Rhinolophus ferrumequinum: one gene and its partners. The protein of the gene in region 1 binds, or shares a complex with, the protein of each later gene. Links are inferred from orthologs where the notes say so. Each region holds a gene or a part of one and is shown in the gene's direction. Other genes may lie near its edges. The genes, in order: EED, JARID2 and EZH1.

Evidence for each region.
Region 2: the proteins of EED (region 1) and JARID2 are in contact, whole or in part, in a cryo-EM structure (PDB 6C23), measured with the Homo sapiens proteins. The link is inferred for Rhinolophus ferrumequinum from reciprocal best matches to the Homo sapiens genes EED and JARID2. Residues at the interface, in NP_003788.2 of Homo sapiens: Pro95, Phe97, Tyr148, Arg306, Asn307, Tyr308, Cys324, Asp362, Ile363, Trp364, Tyr365, Arg414, Asp430; in NP_004964.2 of Homo sapiens: Pro109, Gln114, Arg115, Lys116, Phe117.
Region 3: the proteins of EED (region 1) and EZH1 are in contact, whole or in part, in a cryo-EM structure (PDB 7KTP), measured with the Homo sapiens proteins. The link is inferred for Rhinolophus ferrumequinum from reciprocal best matches to the Homo sapiens genes EED and EZH1. Residues at the interface, in NP_003788.2 of Homo sapiens: Cys84, Val85, Asn86, Ser87, Leu88, Lys89, Glu90, Asp91, Trp103, His104, Ser105, Lys106, Glu107, Val112, Arg120, Leu123, Tyr124, Gln129, Gly130, Glu131, Ile132, Arg133, Leu134, Leu135, Gln136, Ser137, Tyr138, Val139, Asp140, Tyr154; in NP_001982.2 of Homo sapiens: Gly37, Ala38, Lys39, Leu41, Tyr42, Val43, Asn45, Phe46, Lys48, Val49, Gln50, Lys52, Thr53, Gln54, Leu56, Asn57, Glu59, Trp60, Leu63, Arg64, Val65, Gln66, Pro67, Val68, Gln69, Ser70, Met71, Cys83, Thr84, Ile85.

What each region holds. Positions count from the first base shown.
Region 1 is NC_046294.1:59,083,265-59,094,235, forward strand, and holds the start of EED (polycomb protein EED), read left to right. Parts: upstream 1-6,146; 5' UTR 6,147-6,994; coding exon 6,995-7,108; intron 7,109-10,971. UniProt on the Homo sapiens protein: Polycomb group (PcG) protein. Component of the PRC2/EED-EZH2 complex, which methylates 'Lys-9' and 'Lys-27' of histone H3, leading to transcriptional repression of the affected target gene.
Region 2 is NC_046292.1:79,351,921-79,362,307, reverse strand, and holds the start of JARID2 (protein Jumonji), read left to right. Parts: upstream 1-5,217; 5' UTR 5,218-5,775; coding exon 5,776-5,820; intron 5,821-10,387.
Region 3 is NC_046304.1:38,408,043-38,418,531, reverse strand, and holds the start of EZH1 (histone-lysine N-methyltransferase EZH1), read left to right. Parts: upstream 1-5,255; 5' UTR 5,256-5,305; coding exon 5,306-5,312; intron 5,313-5,728; exon of another isoform or gene 5,729-6,032; intron 6,033-6,151; exon of another isoform or gene 6,152-6,415; intron 6,416-6,440; exon of another isoform or gene 6,441-6,864; intron 6,865-10,489.

The sequences.
Region 1 (10,971 bases):
ATGTGCTTAGCATAGAGACTTCAATGAATGTTAACTCTTAGTTCAACTTTCCAGATCCTTTTTTATTAGTGTTTTTCAAATAGGGCATTGCTGGTTTTGATCTACATTTGAAAAGTCTCCGAGAATCTCAGAAAATAATCATGTAATCAAAATACATTATTTGCATACTTTAAAAAACAAACCTGTACAAGAGGAAAATAGTGGATAATATTATTATTCCTAAAATTAAGACTGGTGATTTTAAAACAAGAGCAATGTTTCATTTCAAAAACCAAAATAAATTTATCATTCAACAATTTTTCATGCACGAATAAATGTCTTAAGCTCTTCCACATGTATTGTTTCATTTAATGCTCACACAAACCTCTTCTGGAAGAACAAGACATTGGAATTGTGGACAAAAAGGGAGTGGATCCTCTGTTTGGCTCAAAGAAATTTTCATAAAAATTGTTTATTGTTAAGTCTAAAATAAGTTTTGAAGGATGGGGGAGGAGGGAGGATTCCAGGAGCACCCACAGAAGCACAGAGGAGTAAAACAAAATTCTCAGGAGGTTTGGACATTCTTATGTAGATATTATAGAATTGTCTCCATTAAAAAAACAACAACAAAACTCTTTTCTTAGGTTAATGATAGTCATTGTCATTTGCATTTATCCTTGAAGACCATATTTGGATTTGGGAAAAAGTAAAATTACATCAAGTCTATTTACTCAACACTAAAAGTTAAAAATTTCACCTGTTTCTATTTTCCCTATCTTAGATAATTATCTAGAAATTTGGTCCAGCTATAAACCCAAGTGATCCTATGACTCTCTCGCTTCAACCCTCACATACCATGTCTTGTTGATATTATTTCTGAAATACCTCTAGAAACAACCCCTTACTTTCCATCTTTGTTGGCACTGCCTTGGTTCAGATCTGCGATGTCGCAACAGCTTTGAAACTCATCTCGCTGTCTCCAGTCTTACGCCCTGCTGTCTACCAAAGGAAAAACTCTTCTTTGGCCACCCATTACTTACAGACCAATGACATAAGGCTTTTCACGATCCATTCCCTTTCAGATTAGTAAGACACCTATTTACAAATCATATGCCAAAGTACTAAAGTTATGCCGTGGAATATACGTCTCCAATGACTAAAGTAACAAATGTCCACTCTTTAGCACACTTCCTTCCTATTACCAAGGAAACAAGAAAAGTTAACTAGCAATCAGAAGGCAGTTCTTGGTAAGCAAAGGCATTCCATAGTCGTAAAGGGAGATTTTATTGACTGAAATCTACCATAGATTTCCATAAACTTTCCTTAATCCACAATAGAGTGTACTTTTTCTAGTGTTTGTAAAACAGCATTTGCCTCCACTGGATTGTCTCTGCCTCTCAGATTCTACTAGGGAAACACTGACCAACCCCTATGTCAAAACTTATCAAACTGTATACTTAGGACCTGTTCGTTTCACTATTATAAATGAAATTCCAACAAAAAATTGAAATAGAATAAATGCCATTCTAATTCCTTCTGTGTTTTATCTAATTCTTTCTGTGCAAGAGATATATTTTTACATCGTAATCTTAAGATGGTCTACAAGGTCCTGCATGATCTGACCTCTACTTTTCTAGCATTACCTGTTACCAAGCTCCTGTCGCTTTTTCAGTCCTTTACCAGCACTAACCTTTCAGTTTCCCAGTGGCATATATTCCTAGCCTGTCCCAGAGCCTTTGCACGTGCTGTTACCACTCCCTGGAATGTTTCTCTTTCTCTTCCCTTCCACCTGGTTAACTCCCATTCTTCTTTTAGTTCTAATTCTTCTGTCTGTTCCTCAGGGAAACCCTCCCAAATCTCACTTGATTATGTGTCCACGAAACTGTTTGTAGGGCTGCTATGTATGCTTGTGTAAATTGTTCATCTAAACAAGGGTTCCTAGCTGAGGTGATAACGGCTGAAATCCAGCTTGTGCTATACACACAAAGCCTTGCACAGGAGCAGGCCTGTGCCAACCCAGAAGGGCTGCCTTTTTCTAATTCATCAAAGGCATTGTCTGCGTGCCACACACTGCCTACTCTGGATTGTTTCTATGGGGCACCTTTTAAAAAATAGTACAAAGATACAATGTTGGCAAGCAGCAGCCTGACCTTGTACTTCCCCATCATATTATAGTACTCACCACAGTTGTAATTGTGTATTTATTTGTGCGAACATTTGGTTAATGTTTGTTTCCCCCAGTGAACAGTAACCTATGAGTATAGGACAATAGGAAACTGTCTGATTTTGCTTATTATCAAGGATTCCCAGCACCTAGAACAGTGCCTGGCACATAGTGGGTACTCAGTAAACATTTATTAAATGCATGAGGCATTTGTAGTGCAGGAAGAATATTAGGTTTTTTGAAGGTACTAGAGACTGTGTCTAATTTTCCCTTTTTATCTCCTCCCTTCCCCTGCAATTACCATACTGCTTTGCACATAAATGACATTCAGTAAATTCCTTCTGATTGATTTTAAAATGTTCAAAGAAGCCATATGATGTTCTGTTCATATGCTCGCAGATCCATAGAAAACTGGATCTGTGAGCATATGATTACACACTGCATGAGTGATGATGAACAGCTGCTATGAAGCTGAAAAGACAAAAAAATGTTGAGTGAATGAGAAATAGACTTCAACTGAAATGGGAAGGATTTAGTTTAGCTTTTGAAACTCATTTCCTGATATGAAGCTTAAAAGATACTAGAAGACAATACCGAGGCTGTGAATTTTCTTTTTCTTTATAAATAATTGATCTTTGAAAATTTTCCAAGGTAGAACAACCATTTATTTAAAGGCAAAAAGGCATTTCTGACTAGAGGTCTCAGCAGTCTAATATTAGATCCACTTAAAAAAAAAAAAAAAGAACTAAAGAGGTTTTTTTGGGGGGGAGGGATACTTTTACAGAAAAGTTGCAAAGATAGTAGAGCGTTCTGTATACCCCTCATCCAGTTTCCCTCACTGTTAACATCTTACATTGTCATGGTACATTTGTTAAAATTAAGAAATTGAAATATATACGTAACTATTCACTAAGCTGCAGACTTTATTTAGATTTCCCCAGTTTCTCCAGTTATTTCCTCTCTGTCCCAAGCAAGACAGTTTTTATATGTCCTTCGATAGTGTATGAAAGATTACATGGTCTAAAGATCAAGCTCTGAGAAAAGAATTACATAAACCTAGAGATGACTGGGTCCATCTTGAGGCAAAAGTACTTTGGTTTTTCAATCAGTCATGCTTAAATAAGATCCCTAGCTATTTTGAAGAGAGCTGTGTTTGGGGGCTAATTGGTTGATTTCACTAAGCCACAGTTCACACATTTGTGAAATGTGGGTAGTAATACCTCTCCACCTATGATGGCTCCCGAAATCCTTTACAGTAGGAGAATTCAGTGTTAAAAATTTACAGTTTTTTAATAGGTAATTAAGCTTTTGTGTTTATTAAATTAATACCATAAAGATAGCATGCTGAATAGGAAACCTGCGGTATTTTACATATGTGAAATTAGTAACAAAGACTCTCTCCTTGAACAAACTTTGGTCAGGCTCCTCTGAGTTCTCCTCTCAACTAGGCATTGCGCCTGAGTCTTTGCCTGCCTAGTCCAGATGTAGTAAGAATTCTGCTAAGTCAGTTGAAAGAATCTTTCCCTCTTGTTATCTGATCACCCTTGATAACTGATCAAATTCCTCATCCCTCACCCTCGATGTATCTGATCACCCTGGCAAGTTGCTTTAGGAAGAAGCCCCCTCTCCTTGATGTCTCCTCTAGTAAGTTTCCACCCACCAATCCCTGTAGGGGAGGAAAGTTTCCCTTTACCCCCCGAGGTTTGATAGCTGGATCTATGAAATAAACTGACAACAGGCAGGTTACCAGGAGGAAAGGTATACAAATTTATTAATTTTTAATATTGCATGTGCAAGAGCATCACAGGGGGAAAAAGTGGATAGCCAAAAAAAAAAAAAAGCAGTGAGATTTGAGAGCTCATACCATCAAAGTAGGGGAAAGCAAGGGATGTATACCACGTAAGGGAGAGTAAATGACAGTTTGGAAAGATAAATGGGCCCTTAGATGAATGGGTGTGGTATGGACTTCTAATCTCTTCTGTGATAAGAGTCAATTTTCCCTGTTTGATGAAACTCCTGGGGAGGGGATTTATGACAGTTGAGTTCCTTTTGGAGGGTCTGTCTTTAGGCAGATAAGGGGAGTTCAGAGCATACTTGTTTCTCAAGTACCTTCAGTTCAAAATAATCAATATACCAAGCAGCATATTGTGGTGGCACATTCTGAACTCCTTCATCCCCGACTCTGCTCCTGGATTAAAAAACCCTCGCCTTTCTGTATTCAGAGTTGAGCCCTATCTCTCTCTCTCTCACTGCAATAGTCTTGACACTTATTACAATAATCCCTGGTAAAATTCCTTGCTGTTTTAATAAGTGTCAATCTTTTTTTTAACATTAGTAATAATGAATATTAACTGATTTCCATTTATGATCCCTGACTCATCAGAAAAATTTAAAAATATCCCTCCAAGTTTTAATAACAATAGTTAAAAATATTTTTGCTTTGCTACCCATAACATGCTTGCTGAAAGGCATTATCCTTCCATATGTGTCTTTTACCCAAATATTCAGCACTTTTCTAACTTTATTACTAAAAGTTGTTTCCTACTTCCCAGCTCCCACTGATGTCACACATTTTAATTTGGTTTGGAAATGCTTTAGTTGATTATCCTTTATTTGTAGAGATATATTCACAAACATTCTTCTCAACAGACAAGGGGAGTATGTTTCTCTGCTGTTTCTCTGCATGAAAATGTCATACAAAGGCACATTTTACTTTCTCAAAATTAAGAAACCATACCATACCGTACGAGTCTGACACCATACCAGTCAGTCTCTCTCACCAACTGAGGAGTGCTTAGCAGTGCCTGGCACATTAGAAGAGTTCAACAAATTACTGCAATTAACATTACTAAGACTTGAACTTTCATTTGTTTTAGCTTCCTTGTTTTTCTTGAGTCTTCATTGAAAAAACCTCTTAATCTGCCCTGCCTTTGCTTTACCTTCCTTTTCTCATTCTTAACTGAGTTCTCTTAGCTCCAAAAGGAAGAGTACCTTGCAATCTGCAGATATTTTCTCTATTAAGGCATCATGCAGAAGTAATTCAGTACCCTAGAATTTTATGGCTGGGGTACTCTATACTGGTTATCCTTTGGGCGATGTAATGAGGTTTAAAAGAGAAAAATATATATCCAACTGGGTACCTCCAGGAGGTCACTCCCAGGGGCTCTGTCCAAGTGGTGTAGGGGAACATAGGGCTCTGCCCCATGATGTACAGTCCCTTTCCACAACGTTGGAGATAAAGCTGAGCCTTGAGTCTGCGCCTGCATATTCCTACAGCTTCTCAGAGTCCTGTGGACAATGACTGAAGAGACAAACCATGCGGGAAACACCTCGCATTTAAAAATAAATAAATAAATAAATAGATAGATAAATAGGTAAATAAAATTTTAAGAAAGAAAAAATATAATATCAAGTAGGTGCTCAAGAAATGTTAGGTCCCTTCCTGTCTTCTCATTTTTACAGATGAGGGCAAAGAGGCCCCCCAAAATAGTCACAACCAAATTATAAAAAAAGGGAGAGGGGTTCTTATTTGTCATTCTCCTTTTTCTGCTGTTCATTCGGTTTTGTGGCTTAATGACCCATCTAACAAATCCACCGAGGCTCACCAATGTATTTGGCATCTGTCAAGCGCCTAGACATGGTAACATTTAAAGATAAACTTTTTTGGTGAATAGTTTCCTTGCCTACTTCTAAAATTTTATCGTATCTGGTGCGCCAAAAAATATTGTCCATCGTTTAACAGTCTCATACATAGTTGGAGATAACCATTGATTTTTAGGCCTGGGCCTTGTTCAAGGCCTTGATAATCCTGTGTAACAGTTAAAAAGAGCACTTTGGGCTGTAACTCATTGGAGTCTAGAATGTAATTTTTGGATATTCCTACTTAAACCTTACTCAATGTTGGCACCAACTGGGTGAGGGCAATCATTCATCGCAATACATATTCATCAGAATAAATATTCATCAAGAGTTTAGGATGCGTCCATAGACTATGATTTGGTAGCGCTTTGAAATCCACCCTAGGCTACGGAAACCCGGTGGAAGACTACCTGGTTCAGTAAGACTTCCAAGAGGAGGGGCTTGACGGAGGCGGGTTCGGGCAACCCAGCGCGAGAATACGCCCCGGCGCATGCGCACATCTTAGCGGGTAACTTCCATTTGCTTGGCGGGGGAGGCACATGAGAAGCAGTCTATAGTTTTTGAATTTCTATTCTTAACAAAAAATTAGATAGTAAACAATACCATGAATAATGTGAGAGCGTTATCCTCCGAGTTCAAAATTAAGGACACTTGACATACACCGTTAAAGCAAGAGGTGATTTCTCATATCTTCCCCGTCCCCTGGGACATTGGTGGTCTAGTCCATTCCACAGACTTTCGAGTCCTTGCAGCGGGTCGGGGATCGAAGGATTGGGCCAATTGCGGCTGAAACGTCTTTGGAAGGAGGAAGGGGGTGAGGGGACATCCCTTTGAGTTCCACCTCTCCTTTTTCGAGGCGGTAGTGGGGAAGGGGGACCTACTAAATACTGCCCTCGAAAGCCAACGGGTCACACCTCTCCCTGCAAACTGCCGGGAGGGCGGCGGGAAAAGGGCAAGACGGGAATAGGGAGAGGGAAGCAGCCAGGAAGCCGCGTGGGAGGGCGCGCGAGCGCGCGCCCCTTTTTCAGCAGTGTGGCGGGGTCGCACGCACGCCCGCCTCGGCGGCTGGGCGCGGTTTGCGACAGTGGGGGGAGCGGTGGAGGTGGCGGCGGCAGTGGCAACTTTGCGGCAAGCTCCGGCCGGGCTTGCTTGACGGCGGTGTGGCGGAGGCCCCGCCCCAGGCGGCAGGAACCTGGAGGGAGGCGGAGGAATATGTCCGAGAGGGAAGTGTCGACAGCCCCGGCGGGAACAGACATGCCTGCGGCCAAGAAGCAGAAGCTGAGTAGCGACGAGAACAGCAACCCGGACCTCTCTGGGGATGAGAATGTGAGTAGAGCCCTGAGCAGTCCGGATGGGACTCTGGAGTGAAAGTTTTAAATTCTTTTTAAACTGTAGAAGCGGGGGCGGGCGGCTGTGGGGGGAGGGAGAGGTGTCACCCTCTACTCAGGAAAACGCGGGCGTGGAGGAGAAAATCGAACTTGTTTCTGTGGGGGTTTGAGTTGGGGCCGAAAGCAAGAAGAAACTTGGCGGAAAGATCCTTTTGCGTGGGTGGGGAGTGTTTGGGCCTTTGGGGGATTTGGGGAGAGTGCGGAGCTGAGATTCCAGTAGTTTAAAAGGCAACTTAGAGGTTTTCTGAGAAAGTTAGAAGGAAAGGCCAGGGTATGTTACGGACTCTTTTACAGGAATTCAGGGACCATGTCACTCCTAGACCCTTGCAGACAGCTGATGGGAAGAGGAGATCTTAAGGAGTTTCGGTGATTATTGTAAAGGGGGTTTTGTGTCTGCTACCATCCTGTCCGTGGAGGTTAGTCGGCTGTTTTAAGGAGGAGCAGAGTTGAGAGGGTCGTCTTCTGACTTTGAGGGGGAAACCCTCCTTGAGGAAGGAAGGAGAAGGGACGGTTAGCCTTTTGAAAGAGTTTACAAAGATAAAGGGGACAAACTGGAAGATTTTAGGCAACGGTGGTGAAGGGACATGTCTTTAGGTGTGGGCTCGTGGATTTTTAAAAAAGAACTCTGGTAATCATCTAGTCCCAATTGTGTTTAGGTGAGACGCAGGTAATAAACGAATTGACATTAATTGTCAGTTTCATTCATGTTTTAAGTTTATATCCAATAAAGTCAGCAAAATGTCTTGACAGTTTATTCAGAGATGTTAATTACTCCAAAATGTGAACCCCTTTTCATGATACATGTCTGAGTGTCGATTTAAAATCTTTAAAGTGTTATAGGAGGGTGGTGTTAAGTTCTTCATTTTCTCAGTTTGGCTAGTTTTAGGAATAGATGTAACTAACCTCTTACCCAGTTTTTAAATTCTGCATCTCAATTACATCACTTGTTGAAGCATATGTGGCATGGTGTCATGACCAGAATTTTCACTGAAGACGTGGAAAAGAATTCTTTTTGTAAATAGAAGAAAGATATTTAGGAAATTGTCAGTTTGTGGGATTTGGACTTGAAATTTCTGGAAATCTTAGGCATTGCATGTTAAATTTTGTTTGTTTTTCCCAATTTTATATATGTATATAAAAAATAGCATTTTTTATGCCTTTCATTCCAGTCCTTGGAGCCTGTTTTATTTCTGCCTTTTTTAGGCAATTAGGTTAGTAATTAGGAGCACACACTGGATCCAAATGTTAAATTAAAATCTTAACTCGGCTACTTACTGGTTGCTTGACCTTGAGCAAGGTACTTGAGCTAGTTCCCTCAGTTTCTTAAAAATGGAGGTAATATGTTTACCTCGTGGAGTATTTGTGAGGATTAAATGAAGTTAGTATAGGTAAAGTGCTTAAAAGAATGCCTGTCTCATAATAAGTTTATAGAAGTGTTATTTAATTACTATTAGTTATTTTGTGATCACAAAGTGTAGACTTCCACATAACAAACGATCAGGCAGAAATGTAATTAAGAAAGTCAGACTGAGGAAGATTTCCAAGGACCAAATAAATTGAAAGTTTACTTTCTTTACAGCTTAATGAATACTGTGAAGCCTTCTCAGAATAACATTTTTTAAGTGTATAAAGTATATGAGGTTACATACAAAATCAGTGATAAAATTTTAAAATATGTTATAAAAATATTTTAAAAACAAATTTAAGATTTGTTTTAATTGAACTACTTTAATATAAAGTGTTTAAAGTGCTTCTTTAGCACATTAAGTAACTAGATCTAGCGGCACGTCTGATAGTAAGGGGGATACATAATATTTGAGGTCTGCAACAGCTATATGATATAAAAATACCTGGTTTCCATTGGTAAGAAAGTCACAGCTACAATAACATTAGTACGTATGTTACCTCCATTACAGTAGAAAGTGCTGAATTTCAGATAAAGGTGGTGAAAATTAAAATGCCTTTTGTTTTCTTTTGGATCATTTCAATTCACAGGCCCTAGGAATTTATCTAAGGATCACACAGATATTGGACACAGGTTAAGGGAAGGGAATAGAGAATGCTGTATAAAAATGACTTTAGGGGCGGCCGCGGGGCGGCAGGTTAGCTCAGTTGGTTAGAGCTCGGTGCTCTTAACAACAGGTTGCTGGTTCGATTCCCACGTGGGCCACTGTGCGCTGCGCCCTCCACAACTAGATTGAAACAACTACTTGACTTGGAGCTGATGGGTCCTGGAAAAACACACTTAAAATAAATAAAAGTTAAAAAAAAAATGACTTCAGAAAAAGCAAACAATGGCAGTGGTTTTACTCTTGAGGGAGCTGAATGATGACAAGAAGACCAAAAGCAAGTGGGGAAAGGATGTGGTGTTTTTGAGTTGGAGGTAAGGTAACCTGAGTAGTTGCTACTTTAAGTGAATCAGGATTAAAAGGACATTTGTTTTTTTGAGGTGTAATTGGCATATAACATTAATTTTGGGTGTACAGCATAATGATTTGATATTTGTATACCTTGTGAAATGACCACCACAATAAGTCTAGTTAACATTCAATATGTTTATTATATATGTATCTGCCATTTTATTGAACTTTTTAAAGATCGTATGACTACAGAGTAGTTAGTTCAAGAGAACTAATGGTTGCCTGGTGGTATCAGAGGGCTAAATTTGGAGACTTGTCTTTTGCTTAAGTAATCTGTGGCAAGATTAAGGGACAAATTACTTCGTTTCCTTGTTGGGCAAATGAAGATGATAGTGCCATATCTGTTGCACAGTGTCATTTTATACGTTCAGGAGGGGCCAAGGTGAAAATCAGCCTGTATACATACTAGACACTCAACAAAGGTTTGATTTTAATTTAAAGATAAAATGAAATGGTTGTGAATACATTGCATTTCCATTTGATTCCATCTTGATATGCCTTTGGAGAAGATGGGTAAATTAAGCGCTCAAAAATAAAGGAAGAAAAGAAATGCAACGTGCCTTGTTATAGACAGTGTTTTGTTTGGCTTCTTGATTAGCAGTTGAGTTTAGCCAGAAAGTAAAGAAGCTGCTGGGGGGGCGGGGGCGGGTGAAGGGATTGAAGGGCAGTCGGTGACCACAGGATGGCCACGGGGTTTGAAAATTAATCTGGGGAACGTAATTTAGCGGTTACCAGAAGGTAAAGGGGTGGGGGGTGGGTGATGAGGGTAAGGGGGATCAGGTGATGGAAGGAGAACTGACTCTGGGTGGTGAACACACAATGTAATTTATAGATGATGTGATATAGAATTGCACACCTGAAATCTATGTAATTTTAATAACAATTGTCACCCCAATAAATTTAAATAAAAAAACAGAAGCTGCTGAAAAAATTTGTGCTAGTTCTATTATTTCATTCTGTACTGTTAAAAGGTAATTTTCAGAAAAGTAAGTGAACGTGTTAAAATTTTATTTTATTCATGAGGGAACCAGGCAAATGTAAGTCAAACAATACAAATTTACATGGATTGAAAGAATGTAAATGTGAAATTCCAAATGGAGACAAAAATGAATTTTTTTTAAGAGGAAGGGAAGACATTTTGAACCTCTACCATTAGAGAGAAAATTTGTATTACCAGTGATCTACAACTTAAAGAGATGAAAAATTGTTTAAAGGCAACTAAGAGGGCTATAATATAACATGGAAGAATGTATTATAAAGATAATGCATAATTTTCCATTGAAATGCAAAATTGTTTTCTACACTCGATTCTACCTAAATAAAACGGAAAGGTAGGGAGAAATTGGGAGAGAAAAACAGTGATTTCAACCTAGGAACTTTA
Region 2 (10,387 bases), on another chromosome or scaffold:
TATGGCTGTCCTTTAAACCCTATAAAAAGTTACACAAATGAAAAGCATCATGTGATATCACAGAGAAATACAGTTGACCCTTGACAATGTGGGGGTTAGGGGAGGCCCACCACCCTCGAGGCGAAAATCCGAGTATACCTTAAATCGGTGCTCCCCTCCCCCTCTCCATGTTCTCAACCGCCAATTGACACAACAACGGCGGCGGGTTCGGCGGGTTCGAACTGCGCGGGTCAACTGAAAAAGTCCCGGGATGGGCCCTCCGTGCCCCCTTAAAGAGGGTCAACTGTATAAAGTTATATTAGGAAATCAATAACATCGGAGTATAAAGAAACTTGCCCTAGAAATCCTTACTCAACAAACTGTATGTAAGTCTACATAGCGGCCAGCACTGAGGGGGAGGAAGGAAGCAGAGCACAAAGGTCACCAAGTAGGATTAGAGTATGTTGGATCCAGAAATGTCTTTGGCGATGATTGAATTTAACCCTGACATAGATGATGAAGGTGAAACCCAGAGGGGTCACAGGAGTGGCTTCAGGTCCCTGAGATTGTTCATTTTAGAAACATCTGATTCCCATGCAGTAATTGGCCTCATTGCCAAGGGCTGCTTCAAGATGAGACAGATCATGGCCCCATGATATGTTTGATCGAATTAGGAGAGACAAGATGTATAAATGACAGAATCAGAAAACAAGACAAGAGGCAACAGAATTTTAAAGCTCAAAAATGTGGCTGATGGTAACTATGTGAGATGATGAATATGTTAATTAGCTTGACTGGAGTAGTCATTACAAAATAAATATGCATATCAAAACATCACATTGTACATTTTAAATATATACATATTTTTATATTTTTAAGAAATGTGGCTGAAGTAACAGGGGTAATGAGAATTCAGGAATGAGTAAGCCAAGCAGCCAGGATGAATTGGAGATAAGGCTGGACTCCGGGCCTTGAAGACTGTACAAGACTGGATTGGATTTGGGTGCTGCAAGGGGGACTATAGTTGTATTCCAGAATAGAACTGGAATGATAGTAACAAACTAAATGGCTGGCAATAAATAATTGAGCATTGTAGTTTTGGTGAAATATTCAAAGTAAGCATTTACTGGACACTTCCAAATTGTACGAAGTTTCTGGAGCTTTGGGGAGAACACGAGAAGCAGACAACAGTCTTTGACTTTAGGAAGCTTATTTTTTATTTAGAGAAAGGAGATGGGAATCTAAGACCAAACTGGTGAACGTAAGCAGGTAAGAATACAGCGCAAAGGGGTTAATCTGCTCTTAAGGAAGGGTTACTGGAGAAGATGAATCCTGAGTTATTTCTTAGAACCATGGATCTGATTGGTATTTGGAAGCATATCCTGTGTTAACCCCTGCATTCACAGGGAAATTTCAATATGCATATAACATAGGACTGTGGATTATTCCTCTGTACTTGGTCTTTATTAACTTTCTTTCCCTGTCATTTCTTACAGTAAATCAAATGGTGGACTAAAATGCTTAATTAAATATGATTGCCCATGCAGATTTGAATCCAGAACACTGAGTGCCTGCTCTTATTTGTGTCTGATGATTTGCTCCGATTTTCCTCTTTCATCTCCAACATGTTTCCATTCTTCCTAGAGTGGATAACTGATCTAATCAAAAGAACAATGTAAAATTAAGGAATCAGTCACCATTCCCTCCAATTCCCAAGTCCTATGGACTTTTGACATGCTAAACATTTCTCAACCTGTTCTCTGCTCTATATGGCATTTCCTTTGCTACTGCATTCAGATTATAATCCCTTGTTACCTCGTTTATGCAATAACATTGCAACTAGTTTCTAGGTCTCTCTGCTTCCTCTCTTCTCCAATCTTCGATTTCACCTCTCACACAATTAGAATTACTTTTGAAAAACACAGATCTGCTTTCTGCCTTTAGTGAAAATCCTTCAAAGTCTCTTTTTAGCTTACAGGCAAAGTCCAGACTCCTTTGCTTGGCATACAAAACCTTTTTGGTCCTTGCTCCCGCTTACCTCTGTCTCATCTTTAGTCACTCCCAAACAAAAATTGAATTCCATCCATAAATGTGGTATACTTTTTTAGGTCTCATGATTTTTTTCACGCTGGAAAGTTGTTCAGCTTACTTTAAACTGCAGAACCCATACTCATCCTTCAAAACTCCCTAATTCCGGGAGTGGTAACTGATATAAAGAGGATAAAATGTAAGCTTAATATTTGTGTTCCCTTTAGCACCTTTCCCATATAGTTGATACAGCACTTGGGTATCACCATGGATTGTGAAGTCTGCTTTTTCTACTGAGGACTTTTGGGCTCTCTGTGTCCTCAGGGATGAGGACAGCGCTGGCACACAGGTCCTACGGAGGCTGTGTACCTACTGAGGTCTTCCCTCCAACCTCCCATCTCCCACTCCCGGACTTGATGAGGTCAAGGAAGTACTGTGAGGAGTTAAATCATCAGGAGAAAAGTGAATTAGGTTTCCAGAAAATGAAAAAGAGGAGGAAAAAGAAAGGAGAGGTAATATGTGGCCTTGCCAAGATGGCAGGAAAAGGAAGTTCATCAGGAGACAGTTACTTCTACAACAGGAAAGGCTTTGGATGGTAAAAAGGCCAATCTATTTTCCTTTTCAGGGAAAACAACACTAAAGTTATCTAGATCTTTTGGATTTGAGCGGATTCCTTTCTTTCCCCTACCCTCAAGCCTCAACTAGGGAAATGGCTTTAAATATGTGGTGATCTGGAGTTGGTAGCCCAGCAGGGGAGTTCCCAGGTCCAGGACAGAGAAGCCCAGGGGCTAGCTAAGGAAACTAAGAAGAAATCCACCTTTGTTTTTCAATATTTTGCCTGAGGAATGACAGATTTGACATGAAATCTCCAGAAAGCTGGTTAAAACCGTAACATGGTATGGACAAGTGGAGACCTCCAATTTACAGGTTATAATCATTGAAAGACTTTTGAACACACCTGGTTGTAACCCAACTGTAAAATCACTTGGGTGGCCATTACCGAAAAGGGGTCTGTTCTGCTGGGCCCTTCCTTGCAAAAGGCACCAGCAAACAAGTTCTGGAATATTGAAGCACAGGTCACTCATTTTTCTGATTGTGCAATGAATATAAGGCAAAAGCATTTCATTTTAGAAAGCATTGTTTTTAAAATGGTGAATAATTAAAAAGCATTTGAAAAAGCATTTTATTTCATTTACTGAAAGTTTCCAATAAACCTGTCTGATTCTCAGCGAGGTTAATGTTATTATATAATCCTCCCCACAAGGTTTGATCATCACTAGTTCACAGATGAAGAAACGGACAAAATCAGAGGCCGTGGGCTGCCTTTTAGGAAGTGGCCAAGGGGTGATGTGAATCCAGGTGTCTTACCTCCAGTTTCTGAGACCTTTCTAGACACAATGGTTCTCTCTTCAAACACTGCTGCAAACAAAACGTAATGGTGTTACCCGAGTATTTATCCTTTTAAGGCGAGGAGAATCTAAGAAGTGGGAAGGAGAATAAAATGTATAGGAATGAGTATGAGGGTGCACTGATCCCACTTTTCCTTTATTCAGAGAATAGTCCGAGAGGAGATAATTTAAAACAGTACTTCTCTAAAACCAGTTAAAATAGGGAAATTAATAATGCAGAATGACTACCAGAGACTTGACAAAGTTGTTAATAAAGCGAAGGCCCGAAGAGGTACACCAGGGCTTGATGCTTCATTTATATCAGCGATTAAACAACCGCAACAGGGGCAGAGGCAGGTAAAAAAGCAGGCTCTCGCGCGGCTACCGCCCTTGATATTCCTGGCACTCGGTGTTCCAGATGCTTCCTTACAGTCTGCATGTCTGTGTGGCTCGATCTCCATATTCCACTCATTTTTTTTACCTCAACGTTTTAGTCTAGCTCATGGGCACCCCCGACGCAAAATACGTGACGGCAAAGATCACGTTCGAGCTCTTTAAAGTCGGTTATCTTTTATAGGAGGCAGCCGCGGGGGGCCCCTTTTTGGCCACCCCCGATGCCGTCCTCTCTGCCCGGCCGCGTGCCGTGCCGGGAGGTAGCCATTCCCCACGGCCATCCTAGCCGACACGCGCGTGGGGGCGCGTGCGGCTACGGGGCGCGGGCAGGGGTGACCTCAGACTACCCTGGGCCCGACCGCAGTACGCTCTGTGCGACTACGCAAGGCGGTGTCCTGAGGTGACACCGGCGGCGCGGCAGAGGCAGCAGGCGCCGCCGATCAACTAGTTCGCACCGAGGATTCCTTTTGGTGCGTGGCCCAGTTTTCCTTAGGACTGGCTCCAACCCCTCGTTGACACCGCCCCCAGCGCTGCCACGCTCCGAGGCCTTCCCCCGGGGAACCTCGCGTCCCTCCCCCGCCGCTCGGCTCGGCCCGGAGCGCGATTCCTCGATTCCACAGGCGGTTCGCGCCGCGGGTGGGGGCGGGGCGCGCGGGGAGGAGGCCAGCCGCCTCCGGAGGAGGGGGTCGGGGCCAGGGGGCGGGGGCGGGCCGGCGTGGGGAGTTCCTTGCTTGCGGACCACAAGCTCTGTGAGCCAATCCCGAGCCAGCCTCTAGCAGTGTCGCACGCGGGACACGTCCAAGCGTTTGTTGGCAGGGCCGGTGGGGGGGAGGGGGTAAGGAGGGGGGCGGGGAGTTGAGTGACAGGCTTGCAGGGCAGGCTGGGAATTGTAGTTCCCAGCTCCCGTAGCCATAGCCATTTTGTAGTCGGGGGACTACAACTTCCAGAAGATCAAGGGGACCATTCTAAGGTGCCCCGGGAATAGGCGGCTCTCCCCGGGGCCGGGCGTCCTGGGGCACTCGTACCCAGCAGCCCCGCTGCAGGTAGACTTGAGGGCAGGGGCGAGTGCTAGCGTGTGGCAGCTGTGGGGTGAGCGGCAAGCTGGGGAAAGGGGGTGAGGTGGAGCGACCGAGCGTGCCATGCATTGAGCTAGGGAGCCTCTCTAAATTCCACTCCTAGGCTCGGCGTGGGAGACAAGCCTGAAGGGTTGCCCGGGAAGGGTTCGTCAAAGCATCTTGGGTGTCTTGTCGACGGGGCTGCGGGGGTCCTCTGTACTGGGCCGGAGGCGGTCGGCGCCGAGGTTGGCAGACGCCTGGTGGCTCAGCTGTGAGAGTTTTCGGCTAGCTTCCGGAGGGGAATTATCCGAGGAGCCCTAACTTGTATAAAAGCAGAGTCCATTTAAAGTTGGGCTGGATAGCCTCTCTCTCATTGGTTAGGGGGCTTGGAAAAAAGAGACTCGGCGAGCCCTCGCTGTGGTGCTGCCGCCGCCGCCGCCGCCGCCGCTGGAGTTGACTCTTCTGCTCGCACTGCTGCTGCAGCACAAACGTGACTTCCAACATTTTTTATTTATCTTTCCCTTTTCTTTTCCAAGATGTAACTACAGATCAGACACTAAGGACCTTCACGTTTCGCTGATGTAGTTTTTGGAGGAAAAAGGGGGGGAGTGAAGGGCGTCGGTTTTTTTTGTGTGTGTGTGTGTTTCGGGGGAAATTTTCCATTATGAGTGTTTTACTAAAGTGAATTTTTTTTTTGTTTGCTTCGTTCGTCTTTGGCTCTTTTTTTTTTCTTTTTTTTTTTTTTTGCTTCCCAATTTCGGATTTATTTCAAGGCGAATCGGGCTTTGGGGGAAGAGGAAGAAAAGTCGGATTACAAGATCAACCACCACCAACAACAATAAAAACCACCAGGATATTTTTTTGCAAATTTCTGACGGCTTTAAATTCATGAAGCAATTGTCCCCTTTTGCAATCAGCATTTGGATCTCAGAATGAGCAAGGAAAGACCCAAGAGGAATATCATTCAGAAGAAATACGTAAGTGTTCCTAACAACACATCCTTTGACTTGCAGTTTTAAGCAATGGCTGTGAATGTCAAGTTTATAGATAATTCTGCAGCTGAAGGGTTTTAAACACAGCGTCCGATAAGGCTGTTTCTTTCTTTTCTGAAAGAGGGCTTTTCAGGCAAAGTCGTGTCTGCCTAGTTTGGATGAAAAAAAACAGATTGGTGTGGAGATACCTCAAGTGAATAAATTGACCTCGAATGACACAACCATAATCTAGTTTTAGATGAAAGGCAAGGGATTTTGGTGGAGCTTGGAAGTGGGGTGGGGGCTGCGGTAAGGTAACTAAACTGCATTCTCCGGTGGGTTTGGCCCCATATTGCACTTTGCATGCAAATGAGCCTATGTTATTATTACTAATGTTATTTGGAAAATCGTGTAACGCATGTGTGTTGGAAGCCCTTTAAGTTGCAATCGAGGGTCCGATTATGGAGATCTTATTCCTTGCACTGGCACATCAAATTTAATGTATGTGGTTGTTTTGGCTTATCTGGTTCGCTACATAAACCAGTTGGGAATCATGTTACAGCGAATTCATTTGTTGGGATTGACTTTAATAATGGGACTGGTTTTATTTAAAAATTCATGGTTTCCAGTTTTAGGGGAAAAAGACATACAATATAGCTAATGTTTTTAAGTGGGCACGTGAATGCATATGTGAGTGACTACAAATAATTTCTCCCTGTTAAGTGGGCTTCTGAAATTGGGTGATTATTCAGAGATTTAAATGGTTTGGAATAGTTAAATTTGTTTTGTGCATAGTACTGCTACGTTTTGATTGGCATGGGGACTGTTTTTGTTTTGTGTGTGGTGGCTTTTTTTTAAGTTTGGGGGGAGGGAGGGAAGGGGGGACCGAGGGATTAACCAAATATGCGCTCGAGTGATCGGTGATTAGCTGCATACTTTAAATCAAAGAACCCATTTTCTAAAAGAAGGCCAAATGAACATACATTAGGAGTAATGCAGCGTTATTATAAAGTTTTATTTAACTTGAGTCGTCAAATTAATGTTAATATTTTCCCTTTTTGAGCAGTGTAATATGTGTAATGGGAGATGACCTTCGGGGCATATTTGTAAAAAATATATTTAATGGAAAAACTGAATGCCTTTTTGTAGAGGGCCGATCCTCGTGTAGACACGTAAACTTTAACTATGAAAGAAATGCAAGGTTAAATAATCAAGTCCTACTTATAAAGCTGTTCCCTTAAGAATTTAAGAATTAAAATACATCCGCATTGCAGAGGGCCGGGTAGAATGTAAAGGACTAGTTTAAACTCGGGCTGTAGAAACTGCATGGAGACACCCTTGCCTTGGAGTGTGGACGCCTTCCCAGGGCACGTCCTATTCGGGTGCAGCGACAAAGCAAATGGGGTAGAACTTGGACTCAAGGACCGCCTCTCTGCCCCCATCCCAGGCCCCGCTAAGTTGGAGAACAGTGTGGGGTGGGATTTTGTTGCTAGTAGTCAGCGGATCGTGTGGAGTCCGAGCGTCCGGTCGCAATCCCGTGGCTGGCAGCGGCCGCCGGAGGCAGAGCACGAGTTAAGGCTGTGGGAGCGGAGCTCGTGCTCTCGACGAGCTCCAGCTTGCCGCGGAGGGGAGGGTGTGCGGGGGTCGCGGCGGGCTGGGCCGAGGCTGGGTGGCCGCGCGCGGCCTGTAGGGGGCGGGCTTCGGTCTCGGGGCTCCCAGTTCTGGGCTCCCGGCGGCCCCAGGCGGGCAGGCGGGGCGGGGGGACGGCCTGGCCTACTGTGTCGCGGGAGAGGTGGGAGCGCGCGGTGGTCGGGTGGGGGCGTGCCGGGGAGGGGGTGAGGGCGCACAGCTGCAGCGGGCGCCCCCACTGTGAGCACCACGGAGCATGGCGGCGGCGGCCCGGCGGTTCCAGCGCAGTCTTGAGAGCAACAGGTTAAGCCGGCGAGACGTCAGCGCACCCCCTCCCCGCCCCCGGTTCTTCCCCCGCCTCGCGCCGGCCTCCCCTGCCTTCCCCCGCCTCCTGCTGCGCCCGGTTTCCGGGACGCTCCGGGCCGCGTTCTGTTGTCATTGTGACGTCACAAAGGGACGGGCCGGGGTGGAACGTCCTCCTCCTCCTCCTCCTCCGTGACGTCAAAAGTCGGGCGGGAGGTTCCAGCGCGGCGGGGCTGCGGGGGGCGGAGGAGGAGGATGCGCTCGGCCTCTGTCTTCCGCCGTGGAACGCTGCGCTGCCCTGCAGGTGAGCGCTGGGAACCTTTCCTCCCCAAAAGAGTGCCCCCGCCTAGCTGTGTTTCTGATCCGTTGAGCGGATGGGGAACAGCGGGGAGACGCCTCCTTCCTGCAGAAATGTTTTCACTTCTCTGTTTCCAGGTCTGCTGATGGCGTGACATTACTACTGTGGTAGTTGGGTCTGCTCACCAACGCTTTAGAAAAGCAAGGAAACTTCATTCAGGGAAAGCTTTGCTTTATAGGAGGAACATGTGGTGGAGTCAGCCACTTTGTCACTTTAGTCATGTTTCACGTGTTTTCGCAGGATGTGGCGGGACGCCTTTCTGGGTGATGGTGCGCAGCAGAAACTTGCTCTTTCTGGAAACCGTGCAGTACGGGGTGGAGGGGAGTTGGGCACTCCTTTGCCGTGTCAGCTCCATGCCTATTGAGTAATTTTTAGGGAGCTAGACCAGGGAAGACTTGCCATTGATACCTGTGCTTGGAAGAGCCACTGGACTCTTTAATAAAAAGTCTCAAGGTGTTCCAGGTTTAGTTCTTCTGAACCAGACAGCAAAAGGCTCGCAATCTGAGTTTATTTCCTCTTCTGTGAAATGGAGAAAGTAATACCTGTCTTTGCCACTTCACTTTCTCTGAGATCCTGTACATGAGATGATGATGTGCGTGAAAAATATAAAACAGTATGCTCTTTCTGTCTAAGGTGGCATTATTACTTTAGCTGGTGGAAGGCAGCACATTTCTTAAAATTGGTCTCGAAAGCCTTAGATGCCTGCTGCGTTGCCATTTAGTTTATATTGCCTTAGCAAAGCAGAGTTTGGGGGTGGGATTGTAGATGACAGACAGGCTTTGGGAGAAATGATTGTTACATTTTATATTAAATGACATCCTTGAGAAACTCATAAATTGCAATGTAATCCTGTCTTAATTGTGCTGGGCACAACTCCCACTACAGCACCTTAAATAACTGAAAACATTTGCCTTTCAAAGCCCCAATCCACTTGGACAATAAAAATAGTTTTATGTTTTGCTCTATGGGTATTTTTCTGCCATTTCCGTCACTCCACTGGTTGGTTATTCCTAGGGAGAATAACAGATACGATATCCAGAGTTCAAAACCATTTGATCTGTGATGCTTCATAGCAGGTATGAATTTGAAATTAAAATCTCTGCCATATGAAGATATGATTTATGCAGTTAGCATGAAAACAAATTACCAGTTTGATTTCTAGGACAGCTCAAGCAGAATTTGTACCACTAGGCTGTAAGTTTTTTAAGTATTTCATTTTCTGATTTAAAAGTGTAGTATGACTTTCAAAAAACTGGGAAAAGCTTCTTACAAGATTCAAGAGAGGGGTTTACTATAATTACAATTACATAAAATTGTAAAGAAAAAAGTAGAAATAACACCAAAATATAGTGGTAGGATTTATGTATGATTCCTCCCCCCGTCCCCCCGCCCGCCTTGTTTTACACCCAGTCAGGTTATTTTGCACACAGTTCTGGGGGCAAAAAACTTGTACACATACTTTAATTGCTGTCTTTTTCCTTTCTTGGGCTGTTCACATGCCTTTCATTTCTCTGTCTCTAGTAGTGGAAAACATTTCTCTCTGTCATACAAATCTAGGACAGAGTCTACTTAGCAGCTATGATTACGGAAGGAATACTGTCAAGGTAAGAGTCCAAAGTGTGTCACTGAAATTCGAAAGAAAAAATAAATTCTGTGCAAAAATAATCCAATTTAAGTTACTGTTACCTGGGTTATTATTACCATACGTGGTCAAGTATCTGACTTATGTGTCCACCATAACCATTGACCTAAATAGCCAACAAGAATTGTACTTAGATGATATAATGGCTGTTCCTTCTCTTACAGTTTAGGTTAAACCAGTTTCCGTTGCTGGGCTAAGGACTGTTGACTTACTTCCAAGTGCCTTGGAAATAACTCCAGTGCAATCTTAATATATACCCTGCTCCAAATGTTTAAACTTTCCTTCTCCAGAAAGAGAAAATCTTTTGGGGTCTTTAATCGCTGTCTGTTACATTCAAAGTAGAACCGTTTTCTTTTTTCTTCCTTTTAAAGATGACATGGGAAAGTCATATACAGCTTAGTACATTACAACACTTGGTAAAGGCTAAGCTGGAGTATTTCTCATCCAGTGGTTTGCCCTTGATCATGGTGGTCTGAGGATCCAGACTTGTGACATTTGTCTCTGAATGGTTAAAAAGTTTTGAGGTCTAAGACACTTAGGTGTACTGTTCCTCCTGACGTGACTGGCCCATGGGTAGGTCTTCCCCAGGGTCACAGCTCTGCTAACCTCTACCCACCCACATCCTGGCCGCGCTGGGCTGT
Region 3 (10,489 bases), on another chromosome or scaffold:
GGGGTTAATGCATTAAATGGACAATGAGAAAAACCCATGACACTATGAAATAAATCATTTTTCTAGATCATAACAAGGATCCAATATATGTTAAGCAAATATGACACTAATAATGTATGTGTTTTAACACGTGTAGTGTTTGTAATATGACCTTAAGTAGTACTATAAAAGGCCATGTTTTCCTCATCTGTAAAATGGGAACAATAATATCTATAAGTTATAAGAGTTAAAGCTCTTAGAGCAGTTCTTTACAGACTCAATGTAGATTGCTATTATTTCTATTGCCTTAGTTGTCAAGAGCATACACTTGGGAATCAAGCAGACTTGAGTTTGAATCCCAACACTATTACTTTTTTAGCTGTATGTAACCTGTGCAGTTACTTAACTCCTCTGAGCTTGTTTTCTTATCTGCAAAAATGGGGTTACTAGCATGTATCTCACTGAGCAGTAGAGATAATGCATGTAAAGCGTTTGTTTGATCCAATGACTGGCGCTAGCAAGCATGCGATCAATGGTAGTTACTATCATAATGTATAACACGTATAGTTACAACAATTATATTGCCAAGATATTCTAGGATCCTTCCAGTTTTAGAACTTTGTCCTTTACATTACTTAACACTGCTTTTATTGAAAAGAATACAGACTTCGTTATCAAACAGACCCAGCCTGGGTCTGAATTCCAGCTCTCCTATTTTCCAGCCATGTGGCCATGGCCAATGTCAATTTCCCTGAGTTTCAATGTCCTTCTCTGCAAAATGGGGATGACAATATCTATTTCTCAGACATCTTTCAAGGATTACATGAGATGATGTAGGTTCACATCCAGTCTAATGTCTAGTGATTATGTGAATGCTAAAGGCAACTTGTTAAATAAATAAATAAGTGTATTTATTTTTGTTCCTTTACATGCGGTGTCATGGATATAATCTGTAGCTGTATGTATTGTACTTTTCTTGCTCCAAAAGAGTCTCTGTAGCCTTGTACCCATCCTAGCCACAGTGGGGTTCAAAGGGCCATGGCATCAGAAGCATGGGACCCTGCTGATAAGCCAGGGAAGACAGAAGGGGAAGTCACAGAACCAAGAGGCACTCCCCTTTCCTGTCTGGCTAGGATTTGTTTGTCTTCCACACAGGCTGTTCCTGCTGATATGACGGTCTGTCGAGTGTCCAGCTTTGATTGGTATCTCCAGTACAGAGGAAGTAAGGAGCCCCCTGCCTTTCAGGAGCTATTTTCTTCTGGACTTGCGGAGTTGAGTCCCAAACACATTTATTTCTCTTTCTGGCACCACTGGTGAGAGCAGAAAGCCATGGAGAGGATCCAGAATCATGATGTCAGAGCTAGAAGACCTCAGAGAAAGGAAGAGGTCAAGTAGAGTGGTTCAGAGCGTGGGTTTGGGGGTCAGAATGACTGGGCTTAAATCCTGGCCACACCGTTTACCAGCTGGGTGATTTGGGGCCAGTTCTAGAATCCCTTTAAACCCTAGTTTCCTCAGCTGTAAAATGAGGATGAGAATATTATTGACTTCATATGACATGAGATGACCCATTTTAAAGCACTTACGCACACTGCCAGGCACATAATGAGTGGTCAGTATTTGAAGGCCATTATCATTTTTCTAGTTCTGCAGTTTTACAGTTGAGAAGCCTGATGGCCAGAAAGGAAGCACAGCTCATTAGCTGTCCAGCCAATCAGGGTTATTTCCCAGGCAGGGCCGTGCCAAAGGCGTGTCCCACTGTGGGATCAAGGCCCTACATTAACTGTGCCGAGAGAGCAAGAAATGGGCAGCACCGCCCTAGCTGTGGGGTTGGAGCTTTCAGAGTATGTACAAAGCAAGGCATAGCTCCCACCCCAGTGATCCCCAAAAAAGAAAGTCCCTTCCTACTGGAATTATTTATTTTGTAATTAACAAAGGCTAAGGAGGCCCTTTCTAATATTCTCGCTGGGAGGTTCGGAGTTTAAACTTATAACAGCCATGGACAAGGGTTTATTGTGGACCTGTTGTTACTTGCTGAATCGAATGCATTATTATGATCCCTGAGCCACTAGGGGTCAGGAGCTAAGTACCTGGGGGTGGAAAGCTGTGTTTTTGCGATCAGAGGACAAAATGTCCGGGAGTGGAGAGGCAAACATTGAGCCATGTATCCAGGCTCAGTAACGTCCAGGCCCCAACTTGCTTTGGAGCTGCCTTTACCTCTAAGTCTTCAGGGAGGGGTCTGGCACTTGAGCTGGCCCCACCAAGTCCTAAGCAGCAGCCCCAGTTTCTGGTGATCTTTATACAGGCTTTTAGGTTGTGCTTCGCTTTGTTTTGTTGTTTGTTTCCCCACAGCAGGGTGGCCTTCCTTGCTTCTGGGTGGGAACTGGGGGAGGGAGGATGGTTTGCTCCCATCTCCACAGCTGTGTTTACACTTCCCTGTCAGGGACTGTCTGGGGCCCCAACCTTTCCTCAGTCCTCTGCATCCCCTCAGAGAAATGCTATTTGATATCCCTGTGGGCTTTACATGGGAGGGGCAGAATGAGTCAAGGGGTCACCATCCAAAGGGGGCTGGAAGGAAGCGAGGAAGGTTGTCAGGGAGGAAGGAATAGTGCAGAAAGTTCTGTTTGAATTCTGGGAAGCATTATCTCCTTCCCTTTCTATCAGTGGCCTGAAGACCAGCGCGGGACAAAAGTACACTTAGAACTTGCCTGCCCCAGAAGGAACAGAACGCGTGACATGTCGTTTCTAATCACCGGGTAGAACAAAATCTTGCTTTGTGCTGGGAATGTGAACGCACAGAGCAGAACAGTCTTCCCTACGGGTTCATTAGCGCCAGTGGTCAGAGATACAACATGTTAAAGCCAATAAGATCATGCTAAAATACACACAAATTAAAAAGGATTTAAGAAAATGGTCAAATAAATAATACTTTTCTCCAGGGAGCAAGCTGAGCTGGTATTAATCAGTATACTAGTGTTGCCGGACTCTCTGCCAAGCCCAGGAGAATGGCTGCCAAGGCAAATCAGGCATCAGGTTTCAGAAATTAAACACATAATTTTATTTTTCCGCATTAGGGAACTTTCACAAAGAACCAGCTCTATTAGGCTACTCAGCACACTTTGTCCAGTTTCTTTCGGCCCCAAAGGCCTCCAATTTAAGAGCAAAATGACCAACTGGAAGCCAGGAGTGACAAAGTTATTCCTTTCTCCTATTAACTGCCTGGCGGGGTGGGGTGGGGCTGGAAGGAGTGGGGCAGAGGTAATGGTACTGTTTTTCAGAGGTCCAGTTGCTGACCACTTGCCAACAGTTTTTCTACGAATTTATAGGACAAAGACCTAAAGGGTTGGAAAAGAAAAAGTTGTAGAGGAACAGCTGGCCAAACAAAGATTGGCTGATAGTTTCGCATGGACCATGGTTAGCTAAGAAAGAGCCTGGTCTCAGAAAAACCATCTCATCACAATGAGGAAGAACCAGTTGACAGACAAAATTTCCCCAAGAACCCAATGCTTATTGGCAATGTGGAAGGTTGTTTTTATAATCTTCCAGTGAACAAGGATTAGTCCTATGCCAAGTTGTCGTGGTGGACATGAAAAAGATATACAGCATGGTAGTGAGTGCAAAGTGTCCTAGAGTTGAAGCACGGGAGACCCGGGAGGGCTGGAAGGCTTAATGAAGACGTGGAGCTTGAGCTGGGCTTCAGGGCTCTGATCTACAACTTTGACATAAGTTTCCTCACCTTCCTTCTTCTTTTCCACCTCAAAATATTTCTATAACCATATTTTCTTTTTTATTGCAACATTTCTTTGTATCTCTTCTCTTGTCACTTGGCATACTCTCCTAAAGCAATGTTGTCCACTGCCATGGTGTTAGTTACCATCACTATGTCAATGGTGCCCAGATTTCTCTCCAGTCTCAGTCCTGACATTCAGATCTTCTGAACATCTCTCCTTAGATATCGCGCGTTCTTTTTTTTCCCCAACAGTTATTTATGTGGTATAATGGTTCTCAAACTTGGTCACACAGTGGAATTATCTGAGATGCTCTTAGAACTGGTGAAGCCCAGGGCATTCTCCAGGCCAATTAATCAGGCCCTCTGGGAGTAGGAGGAAGGCATCAGTTATTAAAGCTCCTCAGGTTATTTTCAATGTGAGCCAATTTTGAGAAGCAGTGATCTAGAAGGCAGTTGGAGATAAATTTAAGGTAAAGCTTTGTATTTTAAGTTTTAATTTTTTAACTTTATAGTTTGAAATAATTTCAGATTTACAAAAGAGATGCAAATGGTAGAGAGTTCCTGTAGACAATTCATCCAACTTTCTTAAACGTTGAGGAAGTATAATTGCCAAAACCAGGAATTAAGATTGATAAAATATTATTAACTAATCTACGGACTGTATTCTAATTTCATTATCCCACCGGTATCCTTTTTCTGGACCAGGACTCAATCCAGGATCACACGTTACATTTAGTTGTCACGTCTCCCCCTACCTGGTACAGTTCCTCACCTTTTCTCTTTCACGATCATGCCATTTTTTGAAGATACTGGTCAGTTATTTTGTAGGTTGCCCCTTAGTTTGGATTTGTCTAATGTTTCCTCATGATTTAATTCAGCTTATGCGTTTTTTTCAAGAATACCACAAATGTGATTTTGTGCCCTCATTGCACCATCTTGAGAGGTACCCAATCTAATAAAAATATCTCATCACTAGCGATGTTAATGTTGATCACTTGATCAAGATGATGTCTGCCAAATTTCTCTCCTGTAAAGTTAGTTGCGTTTGTAACTTCTAGGTATCTTCTGAGGAGATCCTTTGATACAAGGCTAATTTGAATCTAGGTAACTAGAAAAACTATTGACAGAAATGGGGGAGTCAGGTGTAAATCAAGCAAGAAGGGTTACTTAGAGCCCATATGAGTCTTTAAGGGTATTGGTAGGTGTGAGGGATCGGTATGAAGGGGTTCCAAGTTGGCTTCAAATACTGAAGTGAGATGTGCCTTGTCACCGGCATGTGAGGATGGTACAACCCTGGATAAGGTCTTTAAGAAGATATTCGTGGCTTCTCGAAGTTTCGAAAGAGCTCTTCCTGTCCCCTGATAGCGCCGCCTTGGAAACCATCGGGCTCGGGCTGCACCACCTCGGACTTCTGAGTTCGGGGGAGGGGGGGGTGTTGGTGCCAAATGACAGACGTGTGAAAAAGGAATCTCAGGTGGCCCAACCTGCAGGGCGGGCGGCGCAGTGCGCACGCGCCGGTGGAGGCGCGGGGCGGGGCCGCGGCGCGGGGGCGGGGCCGCGGCGCGCAGGCGTCCTAGCGGCGGGTCCCTGCGGCTCGGGATGGAGGGTGAGTGAGTAAACAAGCCCGGGCCGGGCTTTGGGGCCGGGCCTCGGCACCTCGCCACCCGGGACCTGAAAGAAGGAGAGGCAAAGGGGTCAGGGAATTGGGAGGAAGCGGAGGGGCACACTGCCTGCCTGGCCGGGGTTAGCGGGGCGCCCACACCCGCTTCCGAGGACTTGGGGAAAGGGGGCGACCAGGGGAGAGAGCCCCTGGCGAGAACGCTTCTGAGGCCGGGAGGGCGGTGTGTCCAGGAGGAGGAGCGGCGGGGGCGGGCCCGGGGACGGGGAATCCCGTTAGAGGGCGGGGTGGGCCGGGTGGGCGGGAGCCCTGGCTTATGGAGGGCGCGGGTGGGCGGTGGCACCAGCGGGGGCCCTTAGCGAGGTGGACTCCCAGGGACCTCGGGCTGTGCACCCTGAGGGCCAGACACGGGTGCTCGGCTTGCGATGACTTTGGGGGGTGTGGAGGAAAGGGTGTCAGTAAAAACAGGGTCGGGACTAGGGTGAGGTGAGTGAGGTCCTGAGGTGCGAAGTGTAGGGGACGCTCACTCGGGACCGAGCCCAAGCGGAATCCTCCTGAGGTTTTGCGCCCTGGGCGCCCCGCGAGCCTCACCAGCCTCAGTCCTGAGTTACGAGGCTGCTGCTCTGCAAATTTGGTCTCGCGCCAACCCCTGCCCACTCCGGGATTCTCCTGGGGATCAAAGGGAAAGCGCCGTGAAGCAAAAGCAAGGTGTTGTATTTGGGACATGCCTGTTACCGTAGGAAAAGTGGGACAAAATTATTTAGGTAAAAAGTGACTACTGAGAAAGTGTTTCGGGGGCGGGTATGAGGAAGGGATTTGGAAGGACGTTAGTGCCGCGCGGGTGGAATATTGAGAGCCAGTTTTTACGGGTGAAATGTAAGATTGTAAACGGAGTAATCTAAGGCTAGAGGGGTGAGGATGAGGAAAGGAGCCGAGGTGAACGAACAAACTGCGTGCGTAGGAGGACGGCATTCACTGTGTGGTCTGTTCCTCCGGGTTCGCTGCCCTGACGTCTTTGAAGAGAAAAATCCCCCACCCGGTGCCTTTAAGTTTTGGAAACTGGCGTTGAATGAAGTTTCCAGCCTGAAAAGGTGCTGTCAGAGGTTTCTGTGAGAGCTTGTCCCTTTTAAGCCTTGGAATCCCCAGGGCTGGGTTGATGTGGCCTTGATAAGAGCTTACTTGCTTACATAGAAGAAAGTGTGTGTTAGAAGATATGTATACTTTTTAAAAATCACATTTATAGTAAAGGAAAGGACCATATATAAAAATGTAGTGATCGTATTATTGTCAAGGTTTATGGTAAGTGTGTGTGTATCACAGTGTGAATTAACTCTCCAGGGCAGGGATGTTTGTCTGTTTTATTCACTGATGTACCCTAAGCACCTAAAATAGTGCCAGGCACACAGTAGGTGCTCAATACAGATTTGTCGAATACATGAATAGTAGGCAGATCTCTGGGGCTGGATCCTAATTCTGTTACTAACTGGCAGAATGCTTGTAGTCCAGTCATGGAACTTGATGCCAAGAACTTGATGCCAAGGTACAAGTTTTGTTTTTTGTGGGTTTTTTTTTTAAGATTTTTTTTATTGGGGAAGGGGAACAGGACTTTATTGGGGAACAGTGTGTACTTCCAGGACTTTTTTCCAAGTCAAGTTGTTGTCCTTTCTGTCTTAGTTGTGGAGGGCGCAGCTCAGCCCCAGGTCTAGTTGCCATTTCTAGTTGCAGGGGGCACAGCCCACCATCCCTTGCGGGAGTCGAACCAGCAGCCTTCCGAGTTAGGAGCATGGAGCTCTAACCGCTTGAGCCACCGGGCCGCCCGCCAACGTACAAGTTTAAAACTCCCCGAGGTTGAAATGACCTCTTCATTATGGTATTACTTTAATTCTCTTTGAAACAGCACTAGAATAAGGAGCCTAGGATTAAAAAATGAAAATTTACTCCCCAAACGACTTTTGTGAGAAGGGAAAAGGTCAGAAAATGTAATCAGACTTGTTTCTCTTATCTTACTTGCCATTGAATTAGCACGCCTTTAAAAAACCATTTAAAATATTAATTTTGTCTGTTTAGTTTTTGATATCTGAAATCTGGCTTTCTTAGTCCTGTGGGTAACAGTTCCTGCCCTTGATTTGTGCTTTATCTGAAACATGTAACAATTCATTTAGTTACGTAGTATAACTTTTTTCTGTCTTGGCCTAAGTCTTAAAAGTTTCTGCTTTGTTAACTAGCGACTTCCCAAAAAAGGTTTGAGGCAGCAACACTAAAAGCACATTACATTTCTACATCGGGTAGTTAAACTAAAGAGAAAAACGAAAAGGCATGTGGAGAAAGGTGAGAATTATTCCGGTTAGATTAGGATTGCAGAGGAGGGTATATGGGGAAAAACTGCTTTTAGGGAATACCTCCATTCCAGAAAGTCCTCGGCTTTTTTTTTTGTTTCGTTTTTAATTTGTTCAAATTGTGTTTTGGGCTCCTCCTACCCCTTTGGTCCATCAGCCTGTCAGTGGGATTTCAGGGCTCCAAACTTTAAAATTAGGAATTTCTTAATGGGTAGTTGGAGTTTGTGGTGTGTTGTGTTCGCTGACACACTTGCCCTAATACTTTGATTCAAAAATGGAACAACTAAAAAGTCTTGATTTTGTTGAATTGGTAATGAGCAGTCTCTAAACATTAAGCTTTATGCTAGCTTAGTACAGAACCAAGGTAGGGCTCCAGCCTGTTCCGAGAGGGCCCTAACAGGGCCTTTATCTCTTCTAAATGAGCATTGGATATCCTAAGGGCCAGCATTTTCCTTTGTGTCTCCTAAAAACTAATCCTGCTTTGATTTTTATCACCATTGTCTCCAGTGCACGTGACTTGATTCTCTTCATAAAGCAACGCTAGACAGTATTAATGCTATAACTTTATATAAGAAGTCAGGGTCACAGCTTCCTATTAGTAAGGTTTTTTCCCTATGTGTATAGTGCCCAGAAGCGCAAACTAGTAACAAATATAAATACCTTGGAGAAGTGGAAGGATACAAATTAAAGATGTGCTTAATAGATCCTGATTGATCTATCATTGTGTGCACTCCACTACAGAGTTGATTTTAATGGGGATATTGAAATTCGTGATCACCAAAATGACTCAATTGTGTGTGACTAGAGTTCTTTGCAGAGGTAGGTTCACCCCTACTGTTTATGTTTCTACTCCACCGTGAACTGAAAAGGGAAGAATGGCATGGAAAAGTTAAAAGTCTACAGTGCCATCGCCTCAAAGCCTTACTTAGCCTGCTGGTTAATAAAATTATTTGTTATAAAAGAGAAAGTAGTCAAGACATTGAACTTGCCCCTAAGACAAGCTATTTCTGCAAAGGGGCAACTTTATGTGAATAAAGGAACTTCATAGTTTGGAACTTTTATATTCTGCTCTCAGTCTCTGTAAGTTTAAGAATATTGTTTCTTAAATGTTTTATCCCAAAACATTTCCATAATGTTTTCCCATTTCCAGCTAGCGACAGACTACATTCTAGTTTTAGCCTTGGAAGCAAACTGAGATCCAATTTTCTAGGGAAAGATTTCCAAGTTTTTATAGCTTTCTTTTCCTGTAGAGATTTAACATGTAAATAAGGTAGTTCTTATTTCCAATTATCAGTCTTTTTTAAAAATAAACTTTATTTTTTTTAGAACTGCTTTAGATTTACAAAAACACTGTTGAGATAGTACAGGGAGTTCCAGTTAAACTCCACATCCAGTTTCCCCTGTTAATAACATCTTATATTAATTAGTACACATATAACAGTTTTTACAGTTAATGAACCAATTTTGATCATTCTACTATTATTCATTCTGAAGTCATTCAAGAGTTTTTTTAGAAAGGTAAAATTGCCTACAGATTTTTAATAGTAAGTCTCTAGAAAATACTGGATTGCTTTATCGTCAAGAAAGACTTTTTTTTCTTGAATCAGTTTTATTGAGGTAAAAATTTATATACGATAAGTTAACCATTTTACGTAGATAGTTCAGTGAGTTTTCACAAAAGTACATAGTCAAAATAACCATCACCATAACCAGTGTATAGAACATTTCATCATCACAGAGTAGTTCTTTATGCTTCTTTCCTTTTAATCCTTTTTCCCAACTCCAGCCCCTGGCAACCACTGATCTGCTTTCTAGAAAAATGTCATGTAAATGTAATCATATAGTATGTAATTTTTGTCTCTAGTTTCTTTCACTTAGCATAATGCCTTTGAGATGTGTTGTGCATGTTTAGGAACTGTTCGTTCCTTTTTATTGCTGAGTATATTCCATTGTATGTATATACTGTACTTTGTATCCATTCACCAATCCTCAGATATTTGTCTTGTTTGCACTTTTTGGCTATTATGAATAAAGATGATATGAACATTTGTGTACATGTCTTTGTGGGGACATCCATTTTTATTTCTCTTGAATAATTAGAAATTGTGTGCCAGGTTATAAGGTAAGAATATATTTATTGGGGAAAAAAAACCCAAAACTGGCAAACTGTTTTGCAAAGTGGCTGTACCATTTTGCATTCCCACCAGCAATGTATGAGGATTGCTCTACATACTCACCAGCAGTTGGTATTATCAATCTTTTATTTTAGCCATTATGATGGGTGTGTAATAGTACATCACTGTGGTTTTAATTTGCATTTACCTAATGACTAATAATATTGAGCATCTTTTGTGTGCTTGTTTGCCACTCCTGTATCTTTTTTGGTGAAAGAGCTGTTCAAATTTTTTGCCATTGTTTATCTTATTAAGTTGTAGGAGTTATTTATATAAAGGCTTATTTTTTTAATTTCTTGACCAAAGCAGCATATGTTTTGGAGTTTATTTTCACTGTGTAGGTAAACATAATGAAAAGCTCTTAAGTAGTAGCTAATGCTTAATTGGAATATAAATGCTGTTTTGCATGTCTAAGTAAGTGAAGAATACATCTAGTAGAAATATAAAGTATTGTTTATGTGCCATTCCCTTTGCCCAAGACAAATGAACCCACTTCTCTAAATCTGTCCTATTATAGTTAATGCTGACTGTTTTGTTTGTTTGCTTTTTTTTTTTTAAACCTTTGAAGTGATAGTTGTTGGTTAGTGTCCAGATGCTCTCAGAACCCGTCTTATGACTGTGTTTCAGGTGTTTATTTTAATCATACCTATCTGTT